Lepisosteus oculatus: one gene and its partner. The protein of the gene in region 1 interacts with the protein of each later gene in a pairwise test. Links are inferred from orthologs where the notes say so. Each region holds a gene or a part of one and is shown in the gene's direction. Other genes may lie near its edges.

The links.
Region 2: the proteins of zmynd19 (region 1) and enox1 interact in binary tests that used the Homo sapiens proteins (3 or more experiments, as listed by UniProt). The two-hybrid records come from large-scale screens. The link is inferred for Lepisosteus oculatus from reciprocal best matches to the Homo sapiens genes ZMYND19 and ENOX1.

Annotation. Positions count from the first base shown.
Region 1 is NC_090719.1:406,703-414,650, forward strand, and holds the start of zmynd19 (zinc finger MYND domain-containing protein 19), read left to right. Parts: upstream 1-4,929; 5' UTR 4,930-5,144; coding exon 5,145-5,195; intron 5,196-6,384; coding exon 6,385-6,444; intron 6,445-6,534; coding exon 6,535-6,641; intron 6,642-7,099; coding exon 7,100-7,240; intron 7,241-7,487; coding exon 7,488-7,668; intron 7,669-7,855; coding exon 7,856-7,948. Other genes in the region: bspry (B box and SPRY domain-containing protein), read right to left, coding at 1-276, 867-1,000, 1,088-1,113, 1,201-1,431, 1,787-1,885, 3,004-3,309. UniProt on the Homo sapiens protein: May be involved as a regulatory molecule in GPR24/MCH-R1 signaling.
Region 2 is NC_090710.1:16,414,955-16,422,468, forward strand, and holds the start of enox1 (ecto-NOX disulfide-thiol exchanger 1), read left to right. Parts: upstream 1-4,507; 5' UTR 4,508-4,811; intron 4,812-7,514. UniProt on the Homo sapiens protein: Probably acts as a terminal oxidase of plasma electron transport from cytosolic NAD(P)H via hydroquinones to acceptors at the cell surface.

The DNA of each region.
Region 1 (7,948 bases):
CCAGCCGGGCCCCGTTCCCCGGGCCCTTGCGCTCCAGGCTGCCGTAGCTCACCCCCACCTTGAAGGCGGCGCTGCGCCCCACCTCCAGCAGCCAGCGGTGCGTCCCCGAGGAGAAGCTGCGGCCGCACAGCGCGTTGGGCCAGCGGTCGAAGCGCAGCGGGCTGTACTGCTGGGGCTGGCGCGCGCGCCTGGGCAGGAAAGTCAGGGTTCGGCCGTCGTCCGAGAGGGACAGCAGGGGGCTGACCGTCCGCTCGTCAAAGCTCAGGGGCTCAGGGTCTGCGGAGGAGAGAGGGGGGGGACAGGAGCTGACTCCTTCTGCACTCCAGGCTTTTCCAGCAGCTGCTACTGGTCAGACTGGTATTTGCACAGACCAGCACACAGTAACACTGAAAACACATCTGAAGTCTCCTGCATGGATTGTACAAGAGCCTGCAACTGGGAAAATCCGGACAGGATCAGAATGCTACACAGGGATACACTTTTAAATAATAATAATTCCTTACACTTATCTAGTGCTTTTCCGGACACTCCATTCAGTCCGTTCCCCACACACCAGCTCTCAGTGGGGAGGAGAGCAGAGTGATGGAGCCAGTTCAGAGAGGGGGGTTATTAGGAGGCCATGATCGGTGAAGGTCAGGGGGGAAATCTGTGGCCAGGACACTGAGATTAACACCCTTACTGTATTCGAGAAACACCCTGGGATTGTTAATGATCACAGAGAGTCAGGACCTTGGTTTGACATCCTTTTCTACAGTACAGTGTCCCCGTCACTAAACTGGGGCATTAGGACCCACACAGACCGCAGGGTGAGCGCCCCCCACTGGCCCCACTCACACCTCTGCCGATTGTGCACACAGACAACTCACCGCACTGACCAGAGCGACACAGCAGCACGGCATTCGCCCACAGGTTCAAAAGCAACGAGCTCTGGCTGCTCCTGGGGTTAAAGGTCAAGTGTTCGGAGTCCTGGGGCTCCCCCACCCCCTCTGCCACCTCCACCCTGCGAGAGAAGAAGGGAGCGGGGGTGACTGGCGGGCCTGGGGTGTTTTCGGAGCTGCCGTTAGCCCTGGGGGCCAGAGCCGCTCACCTGTCCGAGATCTCCTGGGAGCAGTCCTGTTGAAGAGAGCAGAACGGGTGAGGATTGGGAGAATGAGCGCGAGCCCGCCTGTCCCTGACCTTTGACCCGGCCCCCAGGCTCACCAGCAGCTGCCGGTCCTCGGTCTCCGTCAGCAGGCGCACCAGCTGGGCCCGCACGGCGGACAGCGAGCCGAGGGCCTGCGCCCAGTGCGCCCGCTGGGTGAGCAGGCTGTGCTGCACCCGCTCCTCCTCGCGCTGCACCGCCTCCAGGAGGCGCTGCTCCTCCTCGTCACAGGCCTCGCGCACGGCCGCCAGCCGCCGCAGCACCGCGTCCCGCGCGCGGCTGGCCCCGCCCTGGGACACACACACACACACACGACACGGGGTCAGGGAGCGGCGGTCAGGGTCCGGAGGTGTGGGTCCGCCGGTCAGGGTCTGTAGGTCAGTGTCTGGAGGTCAGGGTCCAGCAGTCAGGGTCTGGAGGTCAGTGTCCGGTAGTCAGGGTCTGATAGTCAGGGTCCGGTGGTCAGGGTCTGGTGGTCAGGGTCCAGCAGTCAGGGTCTGGAGGTCAGGGTCCGGTAGTCAGGGTCTGATAGTCAGGGTCTGGAGGTCAGTGTCCGGTAGTCAGGGTCCAGCAGGAGGGCAGAGCACACGACTGCACTGCTATGTGTCTGCTCCTGGGTTCTGACCCAGGTGGGCCGGTGCTGACCTGCAGGTCCAGCTCATGGGGCGGCAGCACATTGTTCACAAAGCGCTCGATCCGCAGGGCCTTCAGCTGCAGCTTCTCACACGTGTCCACCAGCTGGTTCTGAGACAGGAGGTGACAGGAGACTGAGACCCTGAGACACACTGAGGGACACTGAAACACTGAGACACACTGAGGACACTGAGGGACACTGAGAGACCCTGGGACACTGAGGACACTGAGACACACTGAGGACACTGAGATACACTGTGAGACCCTGAAACACTGAGACACACTGAGGACACTGAGACACACTGAGAGACCCTGAAACACTGAGACACACTGAGGACACTGAGGGACACTGAGAGACCCTGAAACACTGAGACACACTGAGGACACTGAGGGACACTGAGAGACCCTGAGACACTGAGGGACACTGAGGACACTGAGATACACTGTGAGACCCTGAAACACTGAGACACACTGAGGACACTGAGACACACTGAGAGACCCTGAAACACTGAGAGACCCTGAGACACTGAGGGACACTGAGGACACTGAGACACACTGAGGACACTGAGACACACTGAGAGACCCTGAGACACTGAGGGACACTTTGAGACCAGGAGCGTAACTGAGAGGTAATTATTCTTATAATAAATATTCCTATAATTAAAAGCAACTCTAACACCAGAATTCCTGCCAGTATCAGAAGAGCCTCCAGTCCTACTGGGAGTAAACTCATCAGCCCAGTGTGTGATCTCCTGTTCCAGCTGGAGCAACAGACAGTGAGTCTGTCTCACAGTGGTGTTTTACGTGATTATTGTCCAATAATATCCGCGTCTGTAAATGTTGTGTTAATTGTATCTGCATTGGCAGCACTGTCCTGCCAATAACGCACCGAGGCGCAGATAGTGCCCGCCCGCAGTCCTCCCCCACTCTCGGCACTGTTTCACGGCGCTTCCCCGTCACGCTGCGCCGTCAGGTGACTCTCATCGCGACACGGGGAGTCTCCCTCACAGCCCCGGCAACCGGCCCCGCAGGACAGGCTGGGGCAGCGCAGGGGCTCTGTTCTGACCGACAGGTCGACTCTGTTTACTCACAGCCTTCCTGCAGCAGGGCGGTGTCACAAAGACATGGCCATGCCCGTCACTGCTGAGAGAGCTACTGTAGCTGCTATTGTCCCGAGTTTGTAACCCGCTGTTTCTGGCTGCCTGGCAGCAGCGCCCTCCGGAACTCACCCGGACCGCACCAGCTCTCTGGGCCAGCTCCGGCCCCTGCTCTGCACCCCGCCGGCCCGGCTCGCCTTCCCTCGCTCCTGCCCCCTTGAGCGCCGGCTCCCCCGCCCGGTCTGGGCTCCTGGTGCCGGTTTCGGCGGCTCCGATCTTGACGCCGTTGGCCCCGTTCAGGCGGGTGGCGGCGGACGGAGCGCCAGCTGTCGGCGTGCTGGGCCCCGGGTGTCTGTGGGCGCTGTCCCCCGCCGGGGTGCCGCTGTCCAACGGGGACACGGCCGTCAGCGGGCCGCCCCTCGCCTCTGCGGTGCTCATTGCGCCCCAGCCGGGTGCCCCCTTGTTTCTGTCTGATATCTGCGGAAACCCGCCCGGCTCCGCCACAGGAGCGCGACAGGTGTGTGCCGGAGAGAGAGCGAGCAGTTACCTGTGACAGGTGAGAGGAAGCACCGACACGGAAGTGCAGGTAAAGGTCAGCGCGGCACTGGGAGCCAGTGGAGAAGAGGAGGAGGGGGGTCTCCAGACCTCAGACCCGATGCTCGCCAGTGCTCGCTCGTCTTTCCTCTCGCCCTGACTCCCTCTGAAGCCGTTCAACGGCACTGCGCGTTTTAAGCCACATGGAGCTCCTTCCAGCCAGTACCGCACTTGCACTGCGCTTTGTGAAACAGGAAACACAACCTTCCATGTCGCAATGATCCCGGAGGAAGGTAGGTCTGAGCCACAGCCCAGGCAGGCTGAAGGGCTGAAGACACGGCGCTCAGGGGCAGAGCAGTCGCGCACACTGTGCATTCCTCTCCACACACCCAGCGGGGCGCCCGGCGCTGCGTGAGAGCAGTCCTGGTAAATCATCAATTCTCTCTCCCTGGACTTTCCCCCCTTTCGGTGCACTGCACCGGGAGTCGTACTTTCTGCCTGTCTCGGCAAGACATTTACACGCGTGGATTTCCCACATCCACGCAGACTCAACCCCTTGGGCGAACAGTAAGCTCTCTCACGGTGCAACCGCCTGTAATTCTCCCGCTCGCCACCAGAAGACGCTTCACTCGGACCCGGTGTAATCTGGGTCACGTTCTGGACTCCTTGTGCGAGTTTTCACTTCGCTGTGAGGCTCTGGTGCGGGCAGTCCGCGCTGTCCATCTCCTTTCCCGTGACGGCCGTCGGGTCTACTGCACTTTCACTTCGGAAACTGTTGTCTGTGTTGTAGCTCTTGATGCCGATGCAATGAATCGAATAAATGAATCTCGATCACTTGAACGATCGGGTACAGAGAGGTTCACCGCGTGCTTACTCGTGACCTGCCAGACACCTCAGTCTTAACGTCTCACCCATCAGAGTCGGGCGTCTCTCTGGGTGAAAGCCTGAGACACGAGAGAAATCGTGCTGCCGTGCACGACACACGCCGCCGGGGGGCGCTAGACCTCTTACTCCTGCCTTGCCAGTGCCTTAAATGTCCTTTAATAAACGTCCCCTGGATCACAAAGACCACTCTAACAGCAGGATGTGATTGACATTTATTACAAGCCCATTCACATATTCTCCTGTCACGTGTTTATTGCAACAGCCCATGCGATACCGAACTGGTTTCTGCTTCGAGCTCTCGGGCGTGCTGGATCACGTGGATGCGTGACCGCCCAGCTCCTTCCGCCTGGGCCACGCTGTGTAGTTTCGCGCGAAATCAACGTCAAAGCAGCCTGGTAACGGAACGCGATTACGTCAGGGGGAAGGGATGCGGGGGGGGGGAGATAGGCCTAGGAAATCCCGCCCTCCGATTGGTCACTTCGATCGAACAGCCTGACGTCACAAGGGGTTCGTCAGTGCCTAGGAATGACAAATGGGTAAAAAAAAGACAACCTGGCCGTGCGCGGGCTCTGATTGGCCAGGCGCTCCTTCCTTCCTGCTCTGATTGGCCGGAGCCGAGGCGCTCTCTACCCTGGCGGCCCCTCCCCCCCGCACCCCTCCTCCCGCCTGCCTTTCCGTCTCCGCTGCTGGAGCCAGCGAGCTGAGCGGCGGCGAGTCCAGCAGGCTTTGCCCGGGATCCGGACTGGACCGGGGTGGCGGGGCGCCCTGACGAGCTGCACCTCTGCGAGCATCACCTCTGCCAGCTTCCGCCTCGCTGTCTGGGAGCCCGGAGCGGGCGCGCCTCCTCCTGCCCCATGTCGGATTTCAAGCTGGGGATCGTGCGGCTGGGCCGTGTGGCCGGGAAGGTGAGCCATGTGTGTCAGAGAGGTGGGGGCGGCCGGCCGGCCGTCGCAGTTTGCAACAGCCCCGGAGAGCGGCGTAGGGCAGCCGTGGCGGCAGAGAGGGGGGGTATTTGTGCCGGTTTTCCCTGAAACGCCGCGTTCTCCTAACGTGGCGAGGTACCGGGACTATAGTGGTCGCTGGCGCACACCAGGAACCTCTCGGCAACGTGACACAAGCCGGCATGTTGCGGGCCCTGCGAGTCCGGCTGGGCTTTAAACGCCGCGACTCCAGCGAGACAAACGCGTCTGAAATCCTCTCGCCCCTCTCTCCCCTCTCCCTCTCGGCCCCCGGGCGTGCCCGCAGCCCGGCCGCCTCGCCGCTGCAGGGCTGGACGCGGTGTGGCGTGCGAGGCGGGGCGCCGGTCGCTAGAGGGCCGCCGGCGGGGGACGGGAGAGGGAGGCGAGACCGGGCACATGCGGCCAGCGGCCTGCTGCCCGCCGGCTGGCGGCTTGGCGCTCCACTCGGTGTTTCTGCGCCGGTGTAGGTGCGGGCCGGAGCGGGACAGGCAGCTCAGCCCTGCTTCTCTGGCGCATGCAGGTGCGTTTAACCCCGGCTTGTTGGTGCTCCCTGGCAGGGACCTCCCGCACCCTGTGCAGACGTGTCCTGTAAAGGCCCGAGTGGAGACTCCAGGGAAGTCAGCTGGCGACATAGAGCAGGGGGGTCCTTCTGTACACAAAGGGTGGTAGGAGTGTTGAACAGGCTTCCTAGCCTTGCTGGTGAAGCTGCTTTCAGTTCAGGGCTTTCAGGATCCTCGAAGTAACTATCTACTGGCAACCAGTAGGGGCGGCATCCCTGTTGTCTCGTGATGGTAAGAACGTGTGTGGTTCAGCAGATGGTTTATTTGGGGTGACTGAGAGAGACGGGGAGCTGACTGTGCCCCAGCTGAGCCGTGGTCCATCTCTGGGCCTCTCGGGCAGCTCTGAGGATGGGCAGCGGAGCCCCTGTGCTTGCGGTGTGGTGCAGGGAGGTAGGTATTTGGGACATTCCCCCCGGCCATGGGGGGTGTCGGGTGTCCAGAGGGCATGCTGGTGCCGTCAGGCTGCAGACTGTCCTCCAGCATGGTGCACTGGGATGAGCGGAAGCCCAGCTGAGGTCTCGACGAGGGCCGGTCCCGATTGCTGATGGTGTGTTCTCGGTCTCTCCCCTCCACAGACGAAGTACACTCTGATTGACGAGCAGGACATCCCCCTGGTGGAGAACTATGCCTTCGAGGTGAGAGCGGGGCGCTGTGCCCATGCGGGCAGTGGGGGGGGCGTGTCCGAGAGCCCCGTCTGACCTCCTCCTCTCCCTCCTCTCGCGCAGGCGCGGATGGAGGTGGACGCCGACGGGAACGGGGCGAAGATCTTCGCCTACGCCTTCGACATCAACAAGGGGCGCTGGGCGGGCAGGCCGCTGCACGAGCTGCTCTGGTGAGGACAGCCGCCCCTCGGCCTGCGCGGGGTCTGGGGGCGCCCTTGTGTCCGAGCGGCTCGCACGTCCGTCTCCGACACTTACTGTGCAGCTGCGGAAGAAGACCTGTGGCGGATGAGGCCGCGCTCTCTGCGCCTTCTCGTTGCTTCTGGCCTTGAGCCCGACCAGTGGCAGGGTGCCTCCTGAAGAGCTCGAGGCGCTTCTCCTGGTCCGCGTGTGCGTTGCAGGCATTCTGCTGTTGCACAGGAGTGAAGTGGAGGAAGTAAGATATTGGTCAGGACACAGAAAGCTACAGGAAGCAGCGCTGAGCGAGGTTTTGCTGTGATGTGTGCGTCTGTCTTCTGCAAGTGTGCAGGTTCATGCCAGGTGTCCACGCGCTGGCCTGTCTGCTGGCGTCCTCAGTCTTGTCCGCTGTCATCTGAGGGCCCGTCTCAGTTTGTCCTCCGTCTGCTCACAGGGAGAAGCACCGCGGGGGCATCGCTCCATGTTTCCAGGTCGTCCACATCAACTCCGTGACCGTGGACAACCGGCTGGACAACCTGCGTCTTGTCCCCTTGGGCTGGACCCCCAAACCCGAGGAGCTGTCCAGCAAGCAGAGGTACGAAACGCTGCCCGATCTGTTTATGGTGCTCGGCGTCTGTGGCCATGGCTCTGGGCTTCTGTCCAGCTGGTCAGTCCTGATGCTGGCCGCACAATCAGCAGTCTGGCTTCAGGGCTGGGGGTTTGTAGGTCAGTAAAAGTGTCTGAGTGTCTCTTCAGGCATGTGTCTCCCCGTCTCGGGGGTTTGTCTGCGTCTCTGGAGTCCCGGCACAGGTGTCTGACTAGGTCTGTGTGTCTCTGCCCAGGGAGCAGTCCCTGTACTGGCTGGCCATCCAGCAGGTGCCGGCAGACCCTGTGGAGGAGCAGTACCTGGAGCTGAGCCGCACGCGCTACTACAACGCCAACGGCGAGCTGGTGGAGGAGGAGGAGTGCTCCTGCACCTACTATGAGTGTCACTACCCACCCTGCTCGCTCATCGAGAGGAGGGTGAGTGTTGTACTGTCTGATGACGCGTCGTGCCTCTTCGCTGGTGAGCGAACACAAACACCAGAGCTGTTTAAGAACAGGAAGGTGTATTGTAAATGCCTCCGTTCAGGGAAGGAGTGACCTTCACCAGCCACACCTTGAAGGCTCTTGTCTCTTAAGGCTTTATCTCCCTCCTCTGTCCCTCCAGCTCCGAGAGTTCAATATCTGTGGGCGGTGCCAGGTGGCGCGGTACTGCGGCTCACAGTGCCAGCAGAGGGACTGGCCTGCGCACAAGAAACAG
Region 2 (7,514 bases), on another chromosome or scaffold:
ATATTTTGTTTCTTGATCCTGTCTTTCTATGACAATGCTCCCTCAGATTATTCAACAATCATTCTTGCTGCATTTCTTTGCTGACTCTTTCTGGGGTGATAATGTCCTTATTGTGGTATGCTGACCAACGCTGCAAACAATATTCTAAATGAGCACACACAGCCCCACCCCCTAGACACTGGATAACTCCACCACACTTAAAATCAGGTCCAGAGGAGAATTCTACACAACATGGAGACTAGCGCAGCTCCAGTGTCTGCTCACAGAGTGGTCACAGAACCACACAGTGTCACTCTATAGACAGCACAGCTACATCTTTAAACCAGGTCCTCTTCTGCAACAGAACTGTTACTGTAGCTTGTCTAAATTTCAGAGGGGGGAGATATTACTGTTGGCGCTGGCTCAGTATTCTCAGCACTGTTACATTTGCCACTCTCCATGTTTGTCATCATGTGGACAGTTTGCACACCATTTCATTGTCAGAATTGGTGATATGGGAAGCACACTGTTGATCAGGAAGAGCAGTGAACCTTAAACAGATCGCTGTGGCACTGTGACAGTAACCTCATCTTGAGCCATGTGTATACATTACCTTGGCTTCCTAAAGCTTTTATTTGGAGGGTTAACCTTTTATGAGGGGCCTTTTCAAAGGTTTTCTGGAAATCTACATATATTCATGACATAAGTTTTGGTGTCACTAACTGACGTTATTGCTTGTTTAAAGAAGAAGACCTTTCTTTTCTTAATCCACGTTGGTCTTAAGTATGCTTTCATTTTGACTAAAACATAAGTTTACTGACTTTACCAGTATAAACAAATCTCAAATTGATTTGCCCTTTGTTCACTGGTCTGTTTCTGTCTCCTTTTTTTGAAATCCTTGAATCTGTGAGTATCACTCTCATTCTAAGTGAGAGTTGAAATATCGTCACTATGGGGCTATGAATAATGAATAAGCCTTGTAAGGCTTCAGTATCAGGTTACTGCATCTTAACATTTCCTAGTACTAAGGGAGTTCCTTCTGTAGCATGGGGTATGCTTTTGACTTATTCTATTGTAAAATCCTGCATGAAATATTAATCTAGTACATTTACTATTAATTTTATCATCCTCTGTTATTCATCTCCTAAGCATACATAATCTAATTTATAAACAGCTCTTCAGCTTTTAAAAATTGATTTCAAATGGAATGCAATAAATGTATTTCAGTGTCCTGTAGCTCCCCGGTAAGGCCAGCAGAGGGAGCAGCATTACTAGATAATCACTTTTAACTGTAAAATAGTTCTGTTAACCTCAGACACTGAAAATACCAAATGATAAATGTATTCTTATTATGTATTTGTTTAGAAGATGTGATTATCCATTTGGGCTTCTATCTATACAATGTGTGAATGAGGATAAATGTAAGATTTCATTCAACTGGAAGCAAGTTTATTGAGAAACACTTAAGATGATTTAATCTCAGGGGTTTATTTAAATACACAAAAAACCTCAAATATGTTAGAAGCAAGACATTTTTATATGCTACTAAATAACAGATAATCTTATTGAGGATACTTTAATATTAGTAAATATAAATAGACAATATCATATTTTTAAACCGTATTTCTAACTGGGAAGCTCCTTCTGGGTTTCTGCACAAACATGGTTCATGGTTCAGTAGGTTTTTGCAACAATAATCACTGAATGAATCATACGTTCGACCAATTCAGGAGGAGTTTCAGGAAGAATTGTAACAGTCTGATGGCTGTCAATCTGACGACTGTTTTACTTTTGGCTTCAGCAGCGGTCACAGCTTGGTATTCTAGACATGGCCGGTCAGCAGACTTGTAACTTCGAAATTCAGATGAGAGACCCCCCTTTTTTTAAAAAAAAACAACAAATTCTGGTGGCCATATCCCCCCTGTGGATAATGACAGCCAGAACAGCTGTGTCAGTAGCTCAACTTGCTGTGACAAAGCAAACAAATGTTAGTGTTTTCTACTATCATCCTAATCATTGGTGAAAGGGGTGTCACGGAAAGGTGACCTCTAAATACAGGTAAGATTTTTGCATTGGCGGCCGACTACACCAACGAGCAATTTTCAAGAATGCTAGGACCCCTGTTCCCTGCAACAGGATCCTTTTATCATCCACAAACACCAGTGCACCTACAGACCAGCAATTGACACTGGTATATGTGTAAGTGCCCTTTTATTCTCTAGCATTTACATTTAACACTGTTTACTCAGCACACAGAGTCCCTGACAGAAAACCAAATCTCTGAAGGACACACATGCCACACAAGGCCAGCACAAAGACCCCATGGACCCCAGTAACCAAACCCAGTGTCCCAGAGGAAAGGTCCAGAAGCTTTGGTCTCTGTGTAGTTCCTTCTGTGGTTCTTAGGCACCTTCTCCGGTCCTGCCTGTCCTGAGCACTGTGGTTCCGCTTGCCCTTTCCGACCTTGATTTCTCAGAGCTCAGCGTCAGGTGTGAGTGTGAGTGTGTGTGTGTGGGGGGGATATTGATGCCAGAAACATCCCCAGCTGCTCCCTTCAGAGGCCCTGGTGTCCATGTCCTCTCCTGGACCCATCAATCTGCTGGAATCTGTCTCGCAATCCTTCCTTCTCCAACGTTCCCCTGAGTTCTCTTGACTGAGGTGCTTGAAGGCCTCCTTAACCAGGGCTCAGGACTCATTCTCTAGGAGTGGGGGTGGGGGGTGGGAGTGCCTTTCATGAGTGAGTAGACCTCAGTGTTCAGAGCATGTTGAGGAACTGGCTGAAGCCCCCTGTTCCAGAGCCTCACTCTCCCATCAAAGCACAGTTAAACCTGTATCAGGACTGTGTGGTAATTGCACAACATTAATCAGTGAGAGGCAGTTTAAGGTACAAGATGCAAACACCCGAAGAAGGCTCCACAGCCGAAACGTTGTTTCCCTTTCTTCTCTTTTCAGCATGGAATAAACCTTTACCTGTTCCAAGATGCAAACTGCATCAGCACTGAAAGTGGCACTGGCCATTCGATGCAATATAAAACCTATACATGTCTGGCTGCAGAGGGCGCTCCTTCTCTGTCCTGTCCCTAGTTTCCTGCCTGCTGTCCTTCTGGTCCCTCTCTTTCCCTTGGGCTATATATTTCCGGGTCTTGCACTCTGTCCTGGCTCAGCATTGACGTTCGGATGTCCTGAGACACGCTTAGCACCAGGTCGCCCCACGTCCGCTACCTGAGGGCATAGGTTTCTATACGGCACTCCTGAACTCTTTGCACTATCGAGCCCGGGCCTTTTTCCTGTCTCGCCGCTACGCATATGGGTCTTTTTTCGCTCTCCTGCCTCTCCACGTTTAGTCCACGTTTAGTACTTTTGGAGGTCCGTGACAATACAGTCCCAAACACCTTTCGTCCCACACCTGTTCTTTTTCATTCAGTGTGACAGAGACGTCTATGTTAACCTGTTTGAACACTTACCTGCACTCGTTAAAACCAGTTTAAACTAATACTTCGTCTGTGGTGACCAACATGTCATTTCCAAGTTACAGTATATTCTATGCTCTGTCTTCCAACATTTCTCCAGGATGTCACACAGTCAAACTGATTATTACTTTATAACCATAGTGAGAGCTATAGAGCTTATAGACACTTAAATACTGCATGGGACATATGCGATATCCGCTTCCCTTTTTAAAGAGAAAAACTGAAAAGGTCAGCCTATAGCGTAAAGTGAAGGATTTTAAAGGTCACACTGGCGAAGGGTTGAGAAATCCATTATTCAATTTATCCGGGCTCTTTGACCTAAGAAGAAACATTGTAATTAACTTTTGTTAACTATGCACGGTGCAACAATGACGTAAACACATTTTGGAATAGGACAATTGTAGCTATCAAATGACCTAAAAAGATCACAAATTTGACCCCCTTAGACAACGCACGGAGTCTTGTTATGCCGTCGTGGTCGATACTTCTGCCTGACATTTGCTTTGATGTGACAAAATCCCGTACTGCCATCACAGCGGTGGTAGTTTCGTAGGTCAAAACACAGCGAGTCCAGCTTTTACTGTATAGCGGTATTAACAAGCCACCGTCCACATGCACAGCGACATCCCCGTTCAGGAACACTGCCATGCCAAATTTCCAAAAATACAATCACAAATGTTTCTGAAAGCACACGGATTTTCAAAACGGAATCTCAAAACAATGAAAACAACTCTGTGATGAACACCCCCTGCACTTAAAAAAACCAAACAATATTAGCTTGATTAATTTAGCACGTTTCCTTTTTGTCCTGTTAGGGGGAGGAGGAAGTTACATTAGGGTTTAGTGGAATGATCGTTTCTATACCCCCCAAAATGACACGCTCTATTAAAATATTAATACAATGAGCCCACACTGGCCCACAGCAATTAAAACTGCTGCCCTGGGTGGGGACGTTTCTTCGACAGCTGCCAAACACTTTTAAGGCATCGGTATAGAATGCTCTGTAGCGCGATTATTTATTGTCTCTCGTTGCTTTTGTGCGCAGTCAAGGCTGGTATGTGGAAGAGCAAGAAATGCTCACAGCGCAGAGCACCTGGAATGCCCAAGCACGTTCAGAAGAGGAGCAGTCGGCCGCGACTCGTGCACGGTGATCCGTGTCGCGCGCCTCGGTTGGTCATAGGCAAATGAAATAAGCAGCCCAGCTCTGTAAGATGCATCAGAGCTAAGGAGCCAAGGGAGGTTAGACAGCTGAAGCGTTTTCTCGTCTTCCTCGCTTCCCGTCTAAGGATATCTTATTTTTCCAACTACAGAAGAAGCGTGATTACATCCTCGGATGAGATATTCCGAAAACTTCTTCCCTCGGTAAGAAGCCGAATGCATGCGAATACCCTAAGATTTAATGTGCGCGCTCCATCTGTGCAAGAATGTTGCTTATACTAAAGCAGCCCGGAGACGGGGGTTGAGCTCAAAGCACCGAGAAGCACAAGCACCTCTTAAGCAATGAGGACAGCCGCCGTGGAAGCAGTGAAACCGTATCCTTACACTGTATATCAAGCCACGGCGAGTGTGCTTCATTATGGGCGTACTGTTATGAAGCCAAATGTCTTCAATTTCTGAATGCCGAGAGGCGGAGAAAGTCACTGACAAAACTATGGGCATTAGCGGAAAGATATCAATAAAATATAGAACGTGCTGGATGGATACTTCATAAGATGCTTTTGTTTATTTGTTGGGGATTTATACAATCAAACTGTCTCTAAGTATCATAAAATCAATATACATAAATACATGTAAGTAACTGATATCTCGACTATAAACGAGATCTTCATTTCTTCCCGTATTTAGGAAGCTGAATGATATGTTGAATATGTATATTTTTCCACGTACTTCTCGTGAAAGCTCTAGACAAAACGATAATGAACTTTTGTTATAGAAAAGGCTTATATGTGGTACTAAGACCCGTGTTGTGGTTTAATTACACTTCAGTCTTCATCCAAAGCAATGGTATGGTAAAGTACGGTGTTTTGTTTTTTCAATTAACGACAATAAGCCGATTTTCAACTATTCATGCTATCTTAAAGTCGCGAGGAAATGATATAGATAAATATGTTGTTATTTGCGCTATCGTGTGAAATGTTACAAAGTAGCCTTTTAAAATTGCTACAATGTTAACGATCAGTAAGAAACTCACGGGAAAACTAAAGAATTGTTATTATGAGTGCGTGGTTTTACGTTACTTTCATTTGTATTTTTAATTACACATATTTATTATATGAGAGAAATAAAAAAATAAGTATAATTTTCCGATTTAAGATCAATTTAAGCGTGACTTATAGTGATATTGTGAGCCTTTCAGAAAGTAACACACGAATGCATCTTATAGCAACAGAGAAGCAGAATGCAAAAACGTAAACGAATAAAGTTAAAATTAGTATCTGCGCAAATCAGATGTAGGAGCCCCTAAAATGCAATAAAATGTAAGGGAATAACAGTTCCCATTACCGTTAGACTGGAAACAGAATAAACAAGCAGGCAAAAAAAAAATCAACAGTTGATGCCCTTGATAGGACGTCACCTGGGCAACGAGTTCAGCACCATGGAGAGAGACCGCCTGTGCTGCAGTGTGTGGTAAAGACCGGGGTCTTTTCTCTGGGCTCTGTCCTCCCGGTCCACGTGGATGGATGTCGGCATGCCTTTTATAAAAGGGCCCATCATTCTTTCAGATGTGGCCGCAGTTGCACGTTTCATGTTTCCTGGGCATGCTGTTTTCTGACTCTTGTCAAGTCAGGTTAATAACAACAAATCAGATTTTGAATAGTTGACTCCAGCACGTAGAGACACAGGAATGATGATGTTTAAAAATAAAAACAAGCGCAGCCATGCACATATTGCTGCTTTGTTAAACACACATACAGGAGTACTGGGATAAAGGTCAACGTTAATGAACATATGACAGATACTAGATTCAGTGGGGTGGCATGGCCGCACTGCGGTACAGCGTAGCTGCCTTGCAGCACTGGGGCCCTGGGTTCAATTCCTGGGGTACTGTCTGTGTGGAGCTTCTGTGTTCTGCCTGTATTTCTGTGGGTTTGGGTTTCTTCTGGGTGCTCTGGTTTGCTCCCACAGTCCAAAGACATAGGGGTAGGTTAATGGGCTTCATGGAAAATTAGCCTGAGTGTGTTTGTGCCCTGTGATGGAGTCCTGTTCAGGGTGTACCCTGCCTTGCACCTGTTGCTTGCTGAAATAGGCTCTAGCCCCCCTGTGACCTGGAAGTGGAAGAAGTGGTTAGAAATTGGATGGATCGACACACAAGGGTCCTGTCCTACAAACAATCCAAGCTGATAGTGGGATTTCATAAAGTCAGTCACAATTAAGAAAATATAAGAAAATGTTTTCCAATGAGAAGGGCCGTTTAGGAAACCTATCTTATTAGGTGTTTTGTAGATAATTTATCCGAGGAGCACATCCTGTCAGTTCTCGAAAGAAGCTGGGATATCGTCTTTAATTGCGTGGCTGGGTAGCTTGTTCCAGAGAGTGGATTATTAATTAACTTAAGAGAGCGCATAAGGAAAAGACATGGAGTAGGAAAGACAAAAAAAAACATATGCCAGCATTAGAGAATATGTGGTCTCCTGTGACTGAGTAACTGAGATTTTGGTACGGGATTCTAGTGTAGTGAGATGGATCTGGCTGTCCAGTCTGGGAATTTCACACAGTAAGAATATTATATTGATAATATTGTTGATGTGTTTGTTCTCACATTGTCTGCTGAAATAAGGTTGAAGATTTTTCTTCATTCATACCATGTTTTGGTACAATGGTGAATCCTAGTGATCCCATGTACAGTCTAATGACCACTGCTAGTCTTTCATGAGTATTTGGTGACCAGATTACAAGACCCTATTAAATTCTGGTTTAAATAATAGCATTCTGGAATATGCAAGATGCTCAGTTTAAAAGCAGCAGCATTTTACCATAACCATATTTGTTGTTTTAATTGATTTACCAATCTGTTGAAATACTCTTTGCAGTTGAAATAATGTTCTAGAATGAGACCAAGATACA